Stegostoma tigrinum: one gene and its partner. The protein of the gene in region 1 interacts with the protein of each later gene in a pairwise test. Links are inferred from orthologs where the notes say so. Each region holds a gene or a part of one and is shown in the gene's direction. Other genes may lie near its edges.

Evidence for each region.
Region 2: the proteins of fam161a (region 1) and cadpsa interact in a two-hybrid assay, tested with the Homo sapiens proteins (2 studies listed by BioGRID). The two-hybrid records come from large-scale screens. The link is inferred for Stegostoma tigrinum from reciprocal best matches to the Homo sapiens genes FAM161A and CADPS.

What each region holds. Positions count from the first base shown.
Region 1 is NC_081362.1:40,580,918-40,588,541, forward strand, and holds the start of fam161a (protein FAM161A), read left to right. Parts: upstream 1-4,461; 5' UTR 4,462-4,971; coding exon 4,972-5,118; intron 5,119-5,166; exon of another isoform or gene 5,167-5,274; coding exon of another isoform or gene 5,275-5,289; intron 5,290-7,624. UniProt on the Homo sapiens protein: Involved in ciliogenesis.
Region 2 is NC_081364.1:48,963,429-48,971,455, forward strand, and holds the start of cadpsa (calcium-dependent secretion activator 1), read left to right. Parts: upstream 1-4,930; 5' UTR 4,931-5,400; coding exon 5,401-5,736; intron 5,737-8,027.

The sequences.
Region 1 (7,624 bases):
GAGAGGAACAGTTCCTATCTACAATCTGGTCTAACTCTTGTTCAAAACTGAAGATGCTGGAAAATGCTGCTTTTTATGTTGTAAACAGAAGGGGAGTAAGAATGAAGGGAACAGGTGATGAGGATGCAAACCCAAAGGCAAAGGCCAAAGGAGCGATTGAAATGTCAAATGGGTGTTAATGAAGGCATGAAATGGAGAAAATGTCTGCATTGCTCTGAGCAAAGTCAACAAACACAGCCATATGGGCAAATTGAAGAGAACTGGAGAAAGCAAAACACGGCAGGATTTAGGTAGTTAATAGGGCCCTGGGGAATATTGTCAAAACAGAGGTTTAGGCACTCAGTTCCTTGAAAGTGGAGTTGCAGGTAGATGGGATAGTGAGGAAGACATTTGGCACACTTGCCTCCTGTGGTCAAAACATTCCCCGGGGTCCAATCATTAACATATATGTCTGCCCAGGTTTGCCTTACGAGCTTGTAGCAACTCATATTAGGAGAACTGTTATCATGGTATGCCACACTCATCCTAAGACCTGCTTATCCACATATAGACTAAAAAAGTCAGATGGGCAAAGGTAACTAAATAAAAATTTCAGAGAATGCTTTCAGGATAGTTTCTTAGAACAGCATATTCTGGAGCCAACTGGACAGCAGTCTGTGATTTGCAAATGTGCCCTCGCCATAAGTTACAGTGACTTCTGCAATTAAAAGGTATAAATATTAATTTTGCTATTAATTTGACAGCACAATTTGACCACTATCATCACGTGGACCTTAGATTCACAGAGAAAAGTGAAACTTCTATTGTTGTGCCCCAACATTGTCTTTATCCCTACAATACCAAAGTTGTACATCCATATTGATGTAAACTTTGGCTGTGCTGCAAAAAAATGGGGAGCATTTCCTGCACATATGCAGTTGCAGTCTCAGTTGTGTTGGAGGGGTAAAAGATGAAATATGAGAGAAGTTTTTTTTAAGATATCTATAAAGAAAGGGAGGCATGAGTGGACATTGAACCACTGGAAAATGAGGATTGAGAAGTTGTAAAGGGGAACAAAGAAGTGGTGGAGGACTTGAATAGGTACTTTGCATCAGTTTTCACAGAGGAAGACATCAACAACATACCAGAACTTCGACAGTTGGGAAGAGAGGTGACTGTAGTTCCCATCACTAGGGAGAAGGTACTTGGGAAGCTGAAAAGACTGAAGTTGGATAAATCACCCAGATCACATGAACTACATCTCAGGGTTCTGAAGGAGATTCTTTTGTTATGTGTTTTGAAAGAAATAAGTGAGGAGATTGTAGTGGCATTAGTGGTGATCTTTCAGGAATCGCTAGAGTTGGGAAGGGTTCCAGAACACTTTAATACAACACCTCTGTTTAAGAAGGGAGGAAAGCAGAATACAGGAAACTATGGGTCAGTTAACCAGATCTCGGTGATTGGTAAGATTTTACAATCCATCATTAAGGATGAGATTGCAGAGTACTTGGAAGTGTATGGTCAAATAGGGCAGAGTCAGCATGGCTTCATCAAGAGGAGGTCATGTCTAATAAATTTGTTAGAACTCTTGAGGCAGTAACATGCAAGTTAGGCAAAGGAGAGCCAGTAGACATGATCCAGTTGAATTTCCAGAAGGCCTAGGGCAAGGGACTGGCATGGATAGAGGACTGGCTGACTGGCAGAAGGCAGAGAGTAGAGATGAAGGGCTTTTTTCAGCATGGCAGCTGGTGACTAGTGAGGTTCTGCTGGTTCAGTATTGGGACCACAATTATTCACATTAAACATTCATGATCTAGACAAAGGAACCGAGGGTATCGTTGCTAAGTTTGCAGATGACACGAAGATAAGTGGAGGGACAAATAAGTGTTGAGGAAATGGAGTGGCCGCAGAAAGACTTAGACACGCTAGCCAAGTGGGAAAAGAACAATGTGGTAAAGTGTGAGGTTGTATATTTTCACAGGAAGAATAGAGGCGTAGACTATTTTCAAAGTGGGGAAAGGCTTTGGAAATGTAAAGCACAAAGGGACTTGGGAGTCCTCGTTCAGGATTCTCTTAAGGTTAACATGCAATTCATCTGGTTCACTAATGTCCTCTAGGGAAGGAAACTGCCATCCTTCCCTGGTCTGGCCTACATGTGACTCCAGACCCATAGCAGTGTGGTTAACTCTCAACTGCCCTCTGGGCGCTTAGGGATGGATGATAAATGCTGCCTAGTCAGCGACGCCCTCATCCCATTAATAAAACAAAGAAAATAAAAATCTGGTGGTTATGAAGGCAAATACGACATTGGCATTCATTTCAAGAGGACTAGAAAAGAAGAACACAGATGTACAGCTGAGGCTGTATCAGGTTCTGGTCAAATTGTATTTAGAATATTGAGAGTTTTGGGCCCCACATCTAAAGAAAGATGTGCTGGTATTGGAAGGAGTCTGAAGGAGGTTTACGAGAATGACTCTGGAGATAAACGGCTTATCATATGATACAAGGTAAAGGAATTGCAATGTGTACTCGATGGAGTTTAGATGGATGAGGGGAGAACCTGAGTAAATTTGGAGGAGTAGACCGGACATAGAGAAGACGTTCCATAAGCAGGGGAGACTATGACCCGAAAAGGTAGCCTCAGGGTGAAAGGACAGCCTTTTAGAACCAAGGTGAGTAGGAATTTCATCAGCCTGAAGGTGGCGACTCTGTGGAACACGTCGCCACAGTCAGCAGTGCAGGCCAAGTGACTGTGTGCCTTTAAGATATAGATAGTTTCTTGATTAGTAAGAGGATCAATTCAGGAGAAAGGGGTTGAGAAACAGATCAGCCATTATCAAATGGTAAAGCAGACTCAATGGGCTGAATAGCTGAGTTCTGCTCCAATATCTTATGGACAGAGTGTTGAATTAAATTGAATACTCTTTTTCAAGATGGTGGCAATAGCAGGAAGAGAAGTGTTTGGGCTCTGTGTCCATACACTCCCATTCCCATTCACCTGGCTGGCTGTATTCTTTTTTTGTTTCTTCATTTCTCTTTTTTTACTCAAAGTTCACTTGTTTACTGTGGATGTGGTGAAATACGGCGGTAGCAAGAGCCTGCTGCTGCAACTGCAGCATGGTGAATCCGGATGACCGTTCCTTGTGGCCATTGCTATATCAAAGGCATCATTGTTGATGGATCTGGTCCATTAATCCTGGTGGCAGTGGCTATCGTCGTGGTGGCATGGTGGTTCCAGTTAATTCCTCTTGATTATGGCGGCAATGTGGTCATTTTGGGTAATCACTGAAGTGGCGATGGCTTGAGCGACAGATCCAGTGTTGGCAACTTAGTGGGTCCAGTCTGTCCCTCCTTGCTATGGCAGTGATGCAGTGTCCTCAGTGCAGGGTTCGATAGTGGCAGCATGGGGGTCGGTCTGGAAATTCTTGTTTTGGCAACTTCAGAGGTGGCTTTGGCCATGGTGTCCTATTGCCACTTCAGAAACCCAGGAGCAAAAGATAAATTTTGTCTCAATTATTTATTTTTATAATTTTTGTGATTAAAATGGCACCAAATTGTGGTGACTAATAAACATCTCACTGTACTTGCACAATTGCAAGTGATGGTAAATTGTTCTTCTCTTCTATTAGCTTAACAGATTCACCATTCAAGTTCCCATTTCACGTCTGTTCAGCCCCTAACCAACAGCAAATTCTCATATCCAGTCTACCTCTTGTTTATCAACTCTTTCCTTAGGAAAAAACAGTGCTTCTGATGAATCAGTAGATGACATCTAATCAGGAAATTTCAACAAATGAAATTCCCAACAAACATTAATCTAAGAGATCAGATAGTAATATTTAAGGACATCTTTGTATGAATGTGATCAATTAAAGTGGGTGATCAGTAAAGAATGTAATTTTTAACTCAAACCTTTTAAAATTATTAAATTAAAATTTCTTAATAAAATGTCACATACCAGACTTGTTTGAATGTTTTATTAAATCAAGATTTCAGATCTGTAATGGTAAATTAAAATTTCTTCCTTTGTTCAATTTCGGCTCCATTTTCTTTCAACAGTGTCTGCAATGAAAATCTGTCAAATTTCTGATTTTAAAATACCGATTCATATTACAATACAGATAAGTCAAAATAATTAGGTTCAGATTTTTGCCTTAGCAGAGATCTGGTGAAAATAGCAGAACTGCTGGATGATCTCGAATTCTGTCCTAGTACAGGCTTCGTCGGAGGCTCACTGATGATGTTACCTAGAATGGTGACGAAACGTCTGAAAACGAACCTTCCAGCTCAGCGAGCAAACTCACATCCAGAACCTCAACCTGAGCTACAAATCTTCTCAAACTCGCTAGGGGTAAATTGGGTTAGTGGCCGTTTAAATCAGCAGTAACAGGTGGGATTTTCTGAAGAAGGCTCTAGGACCGAAACGTCAGCCTTTCCTGCTCCTCTGATGCTGCTTGGTTTGCTGTGTTCATCCAGCTGTACACGTTGTTATCTCGGATACAACACTGGCTGTTTCCAACAATGTTATGGAAGTGGAAATTACCTTGGCAGTGACGCAGATATCAGCTGCTTTCTAATTACAAATACACAACGGCGGTGTTGTTTTACCTTACAGGTCAAACTGCTTGAGGCGAGGTTAAGAAGGCAGGACCTTCTTGATAATCTCAGCCCATGGGGGGGATTGAACCACCCTGTTGGCGCCACCGTGCATTGCGCCGTCCAGCTAACTCAGCTGGTATCCGTGATACCAACATCCTAATTTCACTCCAAAGTCTGCTGTCATTTTTAAAAATATATCAATTAACACAAATATTGATAGGTTCGCCATCGTTACAATCAGTTTGTGCCTTTCTCGGTAGAGGAAGGTAAAAGAGAATTGGAATAATCGCGCTCCAAAAACGAACGATTTTGACCCTGCGGGCTCCCCGTAATGTTAATCCCCCTCCCGTGGATTGACCGTTGCTGTAAGGGTTGCGGCGAAGTCTCGACGAGATGCAGAATCCCCACCAGTTCTCGGTTCTCATTACCTCCTGCATCAAAACCCCCGTAAATCCGAAGACCAGGATACCCTCTACTCTGTACGAGAGAAGGAAAGCGCCGACTTTACGAAACAGCCAGAAACCATCTGTCGCCGAGGAGGTGAGGGCCTTGCGGTTGTTGTGTGTTTTGCGGGGGGAGGCGTTTACGTCACTGATTCATGGCGGCCACGTTGTCAATGGTAACGAGGTCGGCTGCTCGAGCTGAGCTTTGGGTCCAGGGTTTGCGGTAATGTTTTTCTGAAAAAAATACTCAAGAATGAACACTGTTCAAGTTAGTGTGAATATTCTAGCCGCTTGTGTCTTGGAGCAATTTTTTTTTCTTAATATTTGGATTGATTATGCCCCGGCAACAAAAGTATTCGCTTTCGTCCCCCTTTCTTTCAAAGGCAGCACTCATATTCTATCGCCGCAGTTTTATTTGTAGAATCTGGCAGTTGGTTTTTCTCCCACTAATTTTAGACGATCGGAATCAAGTGTAAACTATTCGAAATGGTCAGGGTTTGATCGAATATGTGATTAGGGATTTCCATGATGATTATTGTGTTTATTGAATATGGCATTTCTTGGTAATAAATATCGTGTATTTTATGTAATTTTGCTCAGTGGATCAGGAGCTGAAGTCATAGAGTTGTACAGCACGGAGACAGACCGTTCAGTCTAACTCGTCTATGCTGACCAGATATCCTAAATTTATCTACTCCCATTTGCCAGCATTGGGCCCATGCCTATCTAAACCCTTTCTATTCATGTACTCACCCAGATTCCTTTTAAATTTTGTAATTGTCATTACTGATGATATTGCACCATGTCAGAGAGGGTAAATTTACCAGGGTTTGGCTCCAGGAGTTGTCTCTCACTTATAGTTAGGTCGTTCAAATTTAGTCTGTGATCAGCAATACAAGAGTGTGATTTTAGGTGAGGCAGGTATGGGGAAACAAGAGATAATGGGAACTGCAGATGCTGGAGAATCCAAGATAACAAAGTGTGAAGCTAGATGAACACAGCAGACCAAGCCTTCATCAGAGGATCTAGGCCCGAAATGTCAGCTTTTGTGCTCCTGAGATGTTGCTTGGCCTGCTGTGTCCATCCAGCTTCACACTTTGTTATTATGGGGAAGCAAGATACAGCTTTTAAGGAGCTTCAGTTCATGCAATTCTCCAACAGTTATAAGGTCTTTGAAATCAGCTTGAACCAGAGTGGAAACTGCAGGAAGGATGAGCAAACTAATAACAACATTGTGGTGCAGGGAGCCATTAATGTGGGTGAAGGAAATTGAAATGGAAATACAGGAGCAGTGGGAAACAGTACAGTTATGGGATAGATGCTGTTCTTCTTAGCTTGAGTCCCAAAGGCTGTATTGCCTGCCTGGTGCCAGGGTTAAGGACTTCTTTAGGCTGGAGAGGAATTTGGAATGGGAGGGGAGGGATCCAGTTCTCACTGTGCAATGTTGGTAACAAAAATATTGAAAAAACTGGAAAGGAGTTCTGCTGAATTATCTTCTGATATTGAACAGTTAGGAGCTAAACTAGAAATAAGAAATTCAAGATTCTGAGCCATAGCAAACTGACATAGGGTTAATAAAGTCAGAGTTAAATGCATTTCTTAAAGATTGGTGTTGGAAGAGTGCGTTTCAGCTCATGGGGCACTAGCACCAGTTTTGGAACAGAAAGAAAACGCCTTGTTGGAGAAACGCAGCAGGTCCAGTACCATCGGTAGAAGGAGAAATAAAATTAATGTTTTAGGTGTGTTATTAATTTCTCCAGTATTGAAAGGAGCTAAGAATGTTTTTTTAATGCTGTGGACTGACAGGGAGGAGGAACAAGCAGAACAGATTGTGAAGGCACCCTGTGCAAAAGTTGAAGGCAGTGATAATGATAGTAAATGAATATAAGTAAGTAATATGGATTTAAATGACAGCTGGTACAGTGACAATACAGTATGGAGCTGGAGGAACCCAGCAAGCCAGGCAGAAGAGCAAGAAAGTTGACGTTTCGGGCCGGGAGCCGCCTTCAGAAATGGGGAGGGTGAAGGGAGCTCAGAAATAGAGAGAGGAGGTGTGGGGCTGGGGAAGATAGGTGGGATAGTGATAGGTGAGTGCAGGTAGGGGTAGTGGGGATTGGTCAGTGGGAGGGGAGGGGCAGATAGGTGGGAGAGAAGATGGGCAGGTTGTGTCAAGTCAAGGAGGCAGGGGAGGGTTGGACATGGGATGACGTTGGGGTGGGGAAATTTTAAAACTGGTGAATTCCATGTTTAGGCCTCCGGGCTGTAGGCTACCGAGGCAGAATATGAGGTGCTGCTCCTCCAGTTTGCGGGTGGTCTCATTGTGACGCTGCAGAAGGCCCAGGATGGACATGTCACCAAGGGAGTGGGAGGGGGAGTTAAAATTGTTGGCAGCCAGAAGGTTGTGTATAGAGCACAGATGCTGTACAAAATGGTCTCAGAGCTGACGCTTAGTCTCCCTGATGGGGAGCAGGCCACATCAGGAGCAGCAGCTGCAGCAGACCAAATTGACGGATGTGCAGGTGAACCCCTCTCTGATGTGGAAGGTTTGTTTTGTGCCTTGAATGGAGATGAGGGTGGAGGTGTAAGGGCAGGTGTAGCACTTC
Region 2 (8,027 bases), on another chromosome or scaffold:
AAGAGCTGGGTGTGGTGGGGCTGGAGGGGTGTGTGGAGCGGACAAGGGAGTCATGGAGAGAGTGGTCTCTTCGGAAAGTAGACAAGGGTGGGGAGGGAAAAATGTCTTTGGTGGTGGGGTCAGATTGCAGATGGTGGAAGTGTCGGAGGATGATGCATTGTATCCGGAGGTTGGTGGAGTGGTCCGTGAGGACGAGGGGGATTCTCTTTTGGTTGTTATTGCGGACAGGGGTTTGAGGGATGAGTTGCGGGAAATGCGGGAGACACAGTCGAGGGCATTCTCGACCACTGCCGGGGGGAATGTTGCAGTCCTTGAAAAACAAGGACATCTGAGATGTACGGGAGTGGAATGCCTCATCCTGGGAGCAGATGCGGCGGAGGCGGAGGAATTAGGAATAGGGGATGGCATTTTTGTAGGAAGGTGGGTGGGAGGAGGTGTATTCTGGGTAGCTGTGGGAGTTGATGGGCTTGAAATGGATATCGCTTTCTAGGTCGTTGCCAAAGATGGAGACAGAGAGGTCCAGGAAGGTGAGGGATGTGTTGGAGATGGTCCAGGTGAACTTAAGGTTGGGTGGAAGGTGTTGGTGAAGTGGATGAAATGTTCGAGCTCCTCATGGGAGCATGAGGCGGCGCCGAAACAGTCATCAATGTAATGGAGGAAGATGTGGGGTTTAGTGCCAGTGTAGGTACGGAAAAGGGATTGTTCCACGTAACCTACAAAAGACAGGCATAGCTTGGGCCCATGCGGGTACCCATGACCACCCACTTTGTCTGTAGGAAATGGGAGGAATCGAAAGAGAAGTTGTTGAGGGTGTTTCCTGTTGAGCTAAATGTCTTTGTTTTTAAAGTGACACTTCTCTTCGTTACTCAAAACTTTTCTGAAATTTCAATAGTCTGTCAGGATGTAGTCTCCATGATCCTCCTTTTAATTAAGGCTTTGAGTAGAACAGGATTAGGCCAGTAAATGGTTCAAGATAATAAAATGTGAGGCTGGATGAACATCTCAGGAGATGCTGCTTGGCCTGCTGTGTTCATCCAGCCTCACATTTTATTATCTTGGAATTCTCCAGCATCTGTAGTTCCCATTATCTCTCAGTAAATGGTTCAAGTTTGTTTCACTATTTAGTTTGATAGTGGCTAATCTGATTCCTCAACTCTATTTACCTGCCTTTGTTCTGTATTCCTTAATACCCTCACATTAGAAATGATCTTGGGAGTAAGCTATTTGGCCTCCATTACTTTCCTGCACCATGGACTGACTACGTCAAATGGTCATTTTCCTCATTGCGCAGCTGTTGATGACAACCTAGGTCTCTCCCACTACTGTCTCAGAAAGTGCAGCATTAACATTAATACTTGCATTCAGGCATGGACATTCTGGGGCATGTCTGAATGATTTGCTGTACGTTATTGATTGTTCTGTCCCTTTGCGAACTCATGTAGTACATCTCTGCACCTGTTCTTGAACCATTTCACTCGACTAAAATCTGCACTCAAGTTCACAGGTTTTGTGATTGTTATAACGTGTGTATTGGTGGCAGCAGTAATATTAGTCAGTGCAAAAATCCTAGCTGTTATAAAGGTAAGCAGCTGTCATTCTTTACTGAAATGCCAGTTAAAGAACAGCTGATGAACCCTGTTGAGAAACCTAATTTTTATCAGGATCTCCCACATAGATTCTCCACTAGGAAAAGAAAAGACTTGGATGCCCTCAGTAACAGCAACATTTCCATTTTTCCTGAGGGTTTCCTGTCCAACATTAATCACTTTTTATTTCAAGGTACATTAGAATATTGTGTACAGTTCTGTGTGCCACACTATTGGAAGGACGCAAATGCATTGAAGAGTGTGCAGAACAGATTTGCAAGATTGGTTCTAGGGATCAGATACTTCAGTTATGAGGAAAGTTTGGAGAATTTAGGACACTTTTCTTGGAGAGGAGAAGGCTAACAGGAGGTCTGAATGAACTTTTCAAAATCGTAGTGGGGGCGGTCTGATCAGACTGGATAGAGAGAAATTGTTCTCACTCGTAAATGGACTGAGAAATACTATTCTTCTGTGGTACCTCTGATTTCTAGAGAACTGCACTGATTATCTGGGAAAGTTTCCTCTACAATGGTAGGCACAAACTTGTTCGAATGTATTCCAGCCAGGTTTATTCCAGCAATAGAAAGTACGGTGATCCCATGATAGTTGGAGCATTCTGGCTTTCCTCCTTGTTTTTGTACAGTGTCATGACAGTCTTATGGAATCCTGCCCTGCTCCCAGTCAGCACTGAAAATCTCAAGGAGCTTAGTATCATGGGCAAGGCCAGCATGCCTCATGGCTTTGGGTGCAATTCCATCAACTTCAGCTGGTTCATGGAGGTCACAGTTTCATCCCGAGGTCAAAGGCCAGCAATCCAGACTGATCCTTGATAATGTGCTGTGTCTGGCCATCGGTGCTGCTCATGGGGGTTTGGCTTTGATATGCTGGTCCATTGATAGAATTTAGTGCTTCATAGAAGCATCTTATGTTGCCAGTATCAGTGTAAAATTTAGTATTTTTTTCTGCAAGTATGATTCACCAGTCATTTTGGATATTCCTCAGTTAACCTTGAAGGACACTGCACCTTTTGGCAGTCTAAGATAACAAAGTGTGGAGCTGGACGAACAAAGCAGGCCAAGCAGCATCTTAGGAGCACAAAAGCTGACGTTTCAGGCCTAGACCCTTCATCAGAAAAAGCTTTTGGCATTCTGCTTTTTTTTTTCTCTCCTGGCCAGTCTGGCTGAGCCAGATGAATATAATGATCTGACCCCTTTATTGCCAGCAGATTCTAGATTTCCCCACTATTTTCATCAAACTAGTCCCTATTCTTTTTTGTGTTGGATCTGATTACCTTGGAAACAGCCATTATTGCATCTTTGACTATTTCCAGAAGTCTTCTGGCGCGCAATGTGCCATAAGGTCGGGGTGTTCAGTTGGGTCTGTAAGTTTACTTGATACTTATCTCTACAATATGAGATTAGCAATTTCTTTGCTGACTTGTTTCTTGGTCTGAGATTCGAAATGGAGGTTCAGCTCTGAGTGAATAAGCTAGTGGTCAAAACTAGGTGGGGGGGGAACATTTTTAAGATGAGAGGAGAAAGATTTAAAAAGGACATGGGGCAACCTTTTTACACGGAGATTGATTAGTGTATGGAATGAACTGCCAGAGGAAGTGGGTGATGCAGTGACAGTTGCAATGTTTAAAATACATTTGGATAAGTACGTGAATAGGAAAGGTTTGGAGGGATACGAGCAAATACAGTTCTGATGAAGGGTCATGACCTTAAATGTCGACTTTTCTGCTCCTCCAATGCTGTCTGACTTGCTGTATTCCTCCAGCTCCACACTGTATGGATTCTGACTGCCAGCATCTGCAGTTCTTGCTACCTCCTACAGGCAGGTAGGGCTAATTAAGTTTGGGATTATGATCGGCATGGATTATTTGGACCGATGGATCTGCTTCCATGCTGCATGACTTGGTGACTCCCTGTTCTATATAACAATTAACACTGGTCATCCTGTTGAGCACTGAAATGTAGTCTATGGGCTGCCTGTGTTTCATGTGGTCTCGAAGTGATCTTTTTGCTGAAAGCTATTAGTTATGGACCCTTTCTTCCAGGTTTTCAACAGTGGATGTCTGTTTTTGTTGCAGTGTGTGGACAGCCTTCTTGGTGGTCATCACCTCACCTGAAGATCTGGCCCTTAAATTACTGCCCCATTTAAAGCCCGCTGAACATTTATGAGCCAGCGCCCTGATATGGAGCAATGGTGGAAAACTGGGTCAGAGCCATGTAACTGAGATAACAAAGTGTGGAGCTGGATGAACACAGCAGGCCAAGCAGCATCTCGGGAGCTTTTGTGCCCCTAAGATGCTGCTTGGCCTGCTGTGTTCATCCAGCTGCACATTTTGTTATCTTGGATTCTCCAGCATCGGCAGTTCCCATTATCTCAGAGCCATGTAACTCCTTGCTCCACTTACTCTCTCCTCCTGCCGGCCCGAAAATCATGCCAACAAGTCTAAAACATGCCAAACTTCGAGAACACGTTGCAACGCAAGTTATGACTGCTGCTTCATATCACAACGAGCTATGAAAACCGATTTTAATTTTATGAATGGGTACCTCAAATCCTTTACACTTCCTGTCTTATCATTAGTTTGCAGTAGGGGGCGCAGAGGGTCGAATTCTGCGAGAACAGCTTTTCGAGTGTGTCCACTCAAACGTTGGGCTTTTTTCCAAATGTAAAACCTTTTATCGGCTATGCCGCAAAGTCTGTGGTAACCTACGGAATTTAAATATCATGTTCAAGAAACAGGTGATGATTTGACATGAAGATTCCCGTGGAAAATTCGTCGTTGATGAGATGGATGACTTACAAAGCTAATATCTCAGGTGACATTCCAAGAAAAAAAATCTCCTGTCAGGTCTAACAAATGTTGTAGATTTTGGAGTCTTATGCCGAGCCTGAAACAACTTCATTTCCTTGGGCATTCTATTTTCAAGAATGACCGAATCCAGACAATCCAGTTTCACAATCTACTGCCAAAATTGTGGACTTTTTCTGAAAAGTAAATGAATATCATCTCAGGAACTAGGAAATTATTCTGAAGAAGGGTCCAGACCCCAAACATCAGCTTTCCTGCTCCTCTGATGCTGCTTGGCCTGCTGTGTTCGTCCAGCTCTACACCTTGTTATCTTAGATTCTCCAGCATCGGCAGTTCCTACAATCTCTGAATTATTTTGCCTTTATGTTTTTGTTTCCTTTTGAACCTTATCATGTTTATAAATGTGATTTAAATAAAAGGGGATGCAACTTCCATAATATCAATACATCTTTTGTTTTCTCTTGTGAAACAAGATTTTACCGTTTCAGTTCAACACTTTGAATCCAGTGTTAATGAAAGGCTGGGAATGTGGTCACTCTGCCCCTCCCTCCCGGTACAGTGCGAGTACAAAGCTGTCACAATATTGGGAGTCAAATCAGAACCTCCAGCGATTAATCTTTGCAGATTACAGAGGTCCCCACCGCGGCCGCATATATAAATGTATGTGCCTCTATCTGTGTTGCAGACCTGTAGTAGAAAGCGGTGGTCATCCATCACATTGTACTGACGGAATTGGGCAGGCAGAGAGAGACACGATGCAGCCTCGATCCCAGACCTGTGCACGTCCCTAATACCTTGTGTCGGTGAGAGCAGGGTTAAATCACAAGAACGTAAGCACTCGGCTTCCTGTCTGCTGACAATCCGTGCAAAGCACAGGGCAGCTCGCTTCCTCTCTGCTTCTATTTACTCGCACGGTGCCTGCAGTTTGCAATTTCTCTTGGTTTATTCAGTGCAGGAGAGTGGGAGCGAGCGAGCAGGTGAGGTGCCACAATGTTGGACCCGTCGTCTAGTGAGGAGGAATCGGAGGAGATAGTTGAGGAGGAGAGCAAGGAGGTGCAGGCTCCGGCGCCGGGCAGTCGGTTGTCCCCGAGCAGGACCAGCGAGAGCAGCGGAGGTTTACAACCGAGCAGCCGGAGCAGCAGCATCCGGCCGTCCAGCCCCAGCCCTTCGGTGGTGAGCGAGAAGGAGAAAGAGGAGCTCGAGAGGCTGCAGAAAGAGGAGGAAGAGAGAAAGAGAAAGCTTCAGTTGTATGTCTTTGTGATGAGATGCATCGCCTACCCATTCAATGCCAAGCAGCCTACAGACATGGCGAGGAGGCAGCAAAAGGTAAGCCAGCCAACAAGGACAAAAAAAAAATCCTGCCTAAACACGTTAGCAAGCTTTCTGGTTACAAGGGGGCTCAGTGCATCCTCTGCAACAGCTTTAACCTCGTGTTAATCAGCTGATGGCAAAAAAATTGCAAGCAGTTTTTGACGTTGCTGATGTCTTCGCTCTGCCGAAGGAGGTGCTGGAAATTGGATCGATCTGGGTGCTTTATTTCGCTTCTCACTGCGGTAGCTGTTTTCGTCCAGTTACAGGGCGCCCAGAGGACCCAGTCTGCAGACAGACACTTTGTTGCACTCGCGCCCTTTAAATAGAGCCAATAATTAGCAGTCCAAGGTGACTTGTTAATCATGGCGGGGAAGCTAAAGACAACTTTGCGGTGGCTTTTCTATTTGAGGCTCCCCTTTCGAAATTGCAAACAGGTCAAACTCTGCCCAGCTAATACAAAAAAGAACTTAATTCCAAACGTACCTCTATGAAAACGGTCTGAGAATTGTCCTTTGTTCTCAGATGTGGCTATTTTATCATTGTCCAGCAGCACAGACTAGGGTGTCGAGTAAAACCCTGCCATAAACACACCCAAGATCGATTTGCGATGTGTTTTATTATGCTATTGTGTAGAAACACTATCCTGTTATACAAATAATCCTACAGTACCTGCGCCCCGATTAGAACATGGGGCGTTATCGTTCCCCAATATTGATTGCTGTCACCGCCAAGTGGCGCTGACAAAGACTATCACTCCCACTGTCAGTGGTAATACATTTCAAAATCAGCACTCGTAATAGCTTGTGTTGAGCTCAGAAATATTACTTCGGGCTGCTACACTATCAACTGAAGAACGTCAAGTACTGATAAGAGCACTCCTTAGTTTATGGACTAGCACTAGCCTGTCCCTGCTTGCGCCGTACTAATATAGATCATTTTTACTATGCTGAGGAATGACTACCCTTCTGTATTGGCTGTCCCTCCTGGCACAGTTGTCATCTGGAACCCTTCAATTTGCTTTAGATTTTGTTTTCGCAATTTAGTTTAGACCCTTAACTCTGAAAGTGGAAAAACTGAAAAGGCTGTTCTCTTGGAGGAATCCTCCTGTTCGACACTTCCTTTCAGTCCAAGCATTAACTGTAAGCAGTTATATTAATTGCTGCTTGGGTATGCCACGTTTCGTAGTATATGATTAATTATTATATGACAAAGTATGTTTAAATGTAAAAGTACACAAATGTGAAAGACTTGAGCAATAAATGTGATTTTGAAGGCTGTAAGTTTCAAGTTCTCAAGATGTAATTTACTACTTTTTTGGTCAAGAAGTAACATTGCATGCAATATTTGCATATATCTCTCTAAATATATTTATGGATCTGAGTAACAAGATAATTCAAGACATTGTTATTGCCAATTGTCATGCAGAAAGCGAGAAAATGAATCGTTTATGTTTACTAAAGGTAAAGTCGTCATAGTCCTAATCTTGTCAGATCATAAAGCTGCTGTCTTGTTCGAGAAAGACAGCTGATGGTGGCTGAATGCCTCAGGTGAGGGGAGAGATTGAGACAAAGGGACCTTTGTGTCTCCTCAGGTATGGGAATTGACCCCATGCTGTTGCTGTCGCTCTGCTCTGTAAACCAGCCATTCAGACAACGGAGCTAACCAAAAGGCTACAGAATTTCTCTAATTAAATGATCAGAAACATTTAATTGCTGCAGTTATACATGTTACAATATTTTATCGAAAATTGAAAGACTTGTTGAGGTAATCTATAAATGTAAGGACAGGTGAGCAAAATATTTCATTGCTAAATCATTGTTTCTTTTTCATCTAATTAATTTATGTATTCAGAATTTTAGCTCAGTCTACAGTGGAAACCCTGGTGTTTATGGAATACCTTCAGTACAGAGAAAAAAAATCTCCCAAAGTGGGTAGAAAACAGAGTGCCATCCCATTTGAGGAGATGGTGGGCGAGATGATACAAAGTGTGGTTAAGGAAGTGGTTTTCAAGGGGATTTTTATAAAATAAATTGAGACAATGGTAAGATTTTAGGGCAAAGATTCTGGTGTGGGACCCCAGACTGTAAAGACATGGGCATCACTTACAAAAACACAGTTTTGGTAGGTACAAGAAAGCGCAGACTCGTCAGCGATTTGGAGCAGTTTACAGAAGTAGGGATGGAAAAAGTCATGAAGAACTTCAAGTTCTACAATCAGAATGTTAAACTTGAGCTGTTAGTGGATTGAGAACCTTTGCAGTTTTGTTATGAACTTGGGTCTAAATACATTTGGCAGGAATTTTGGAT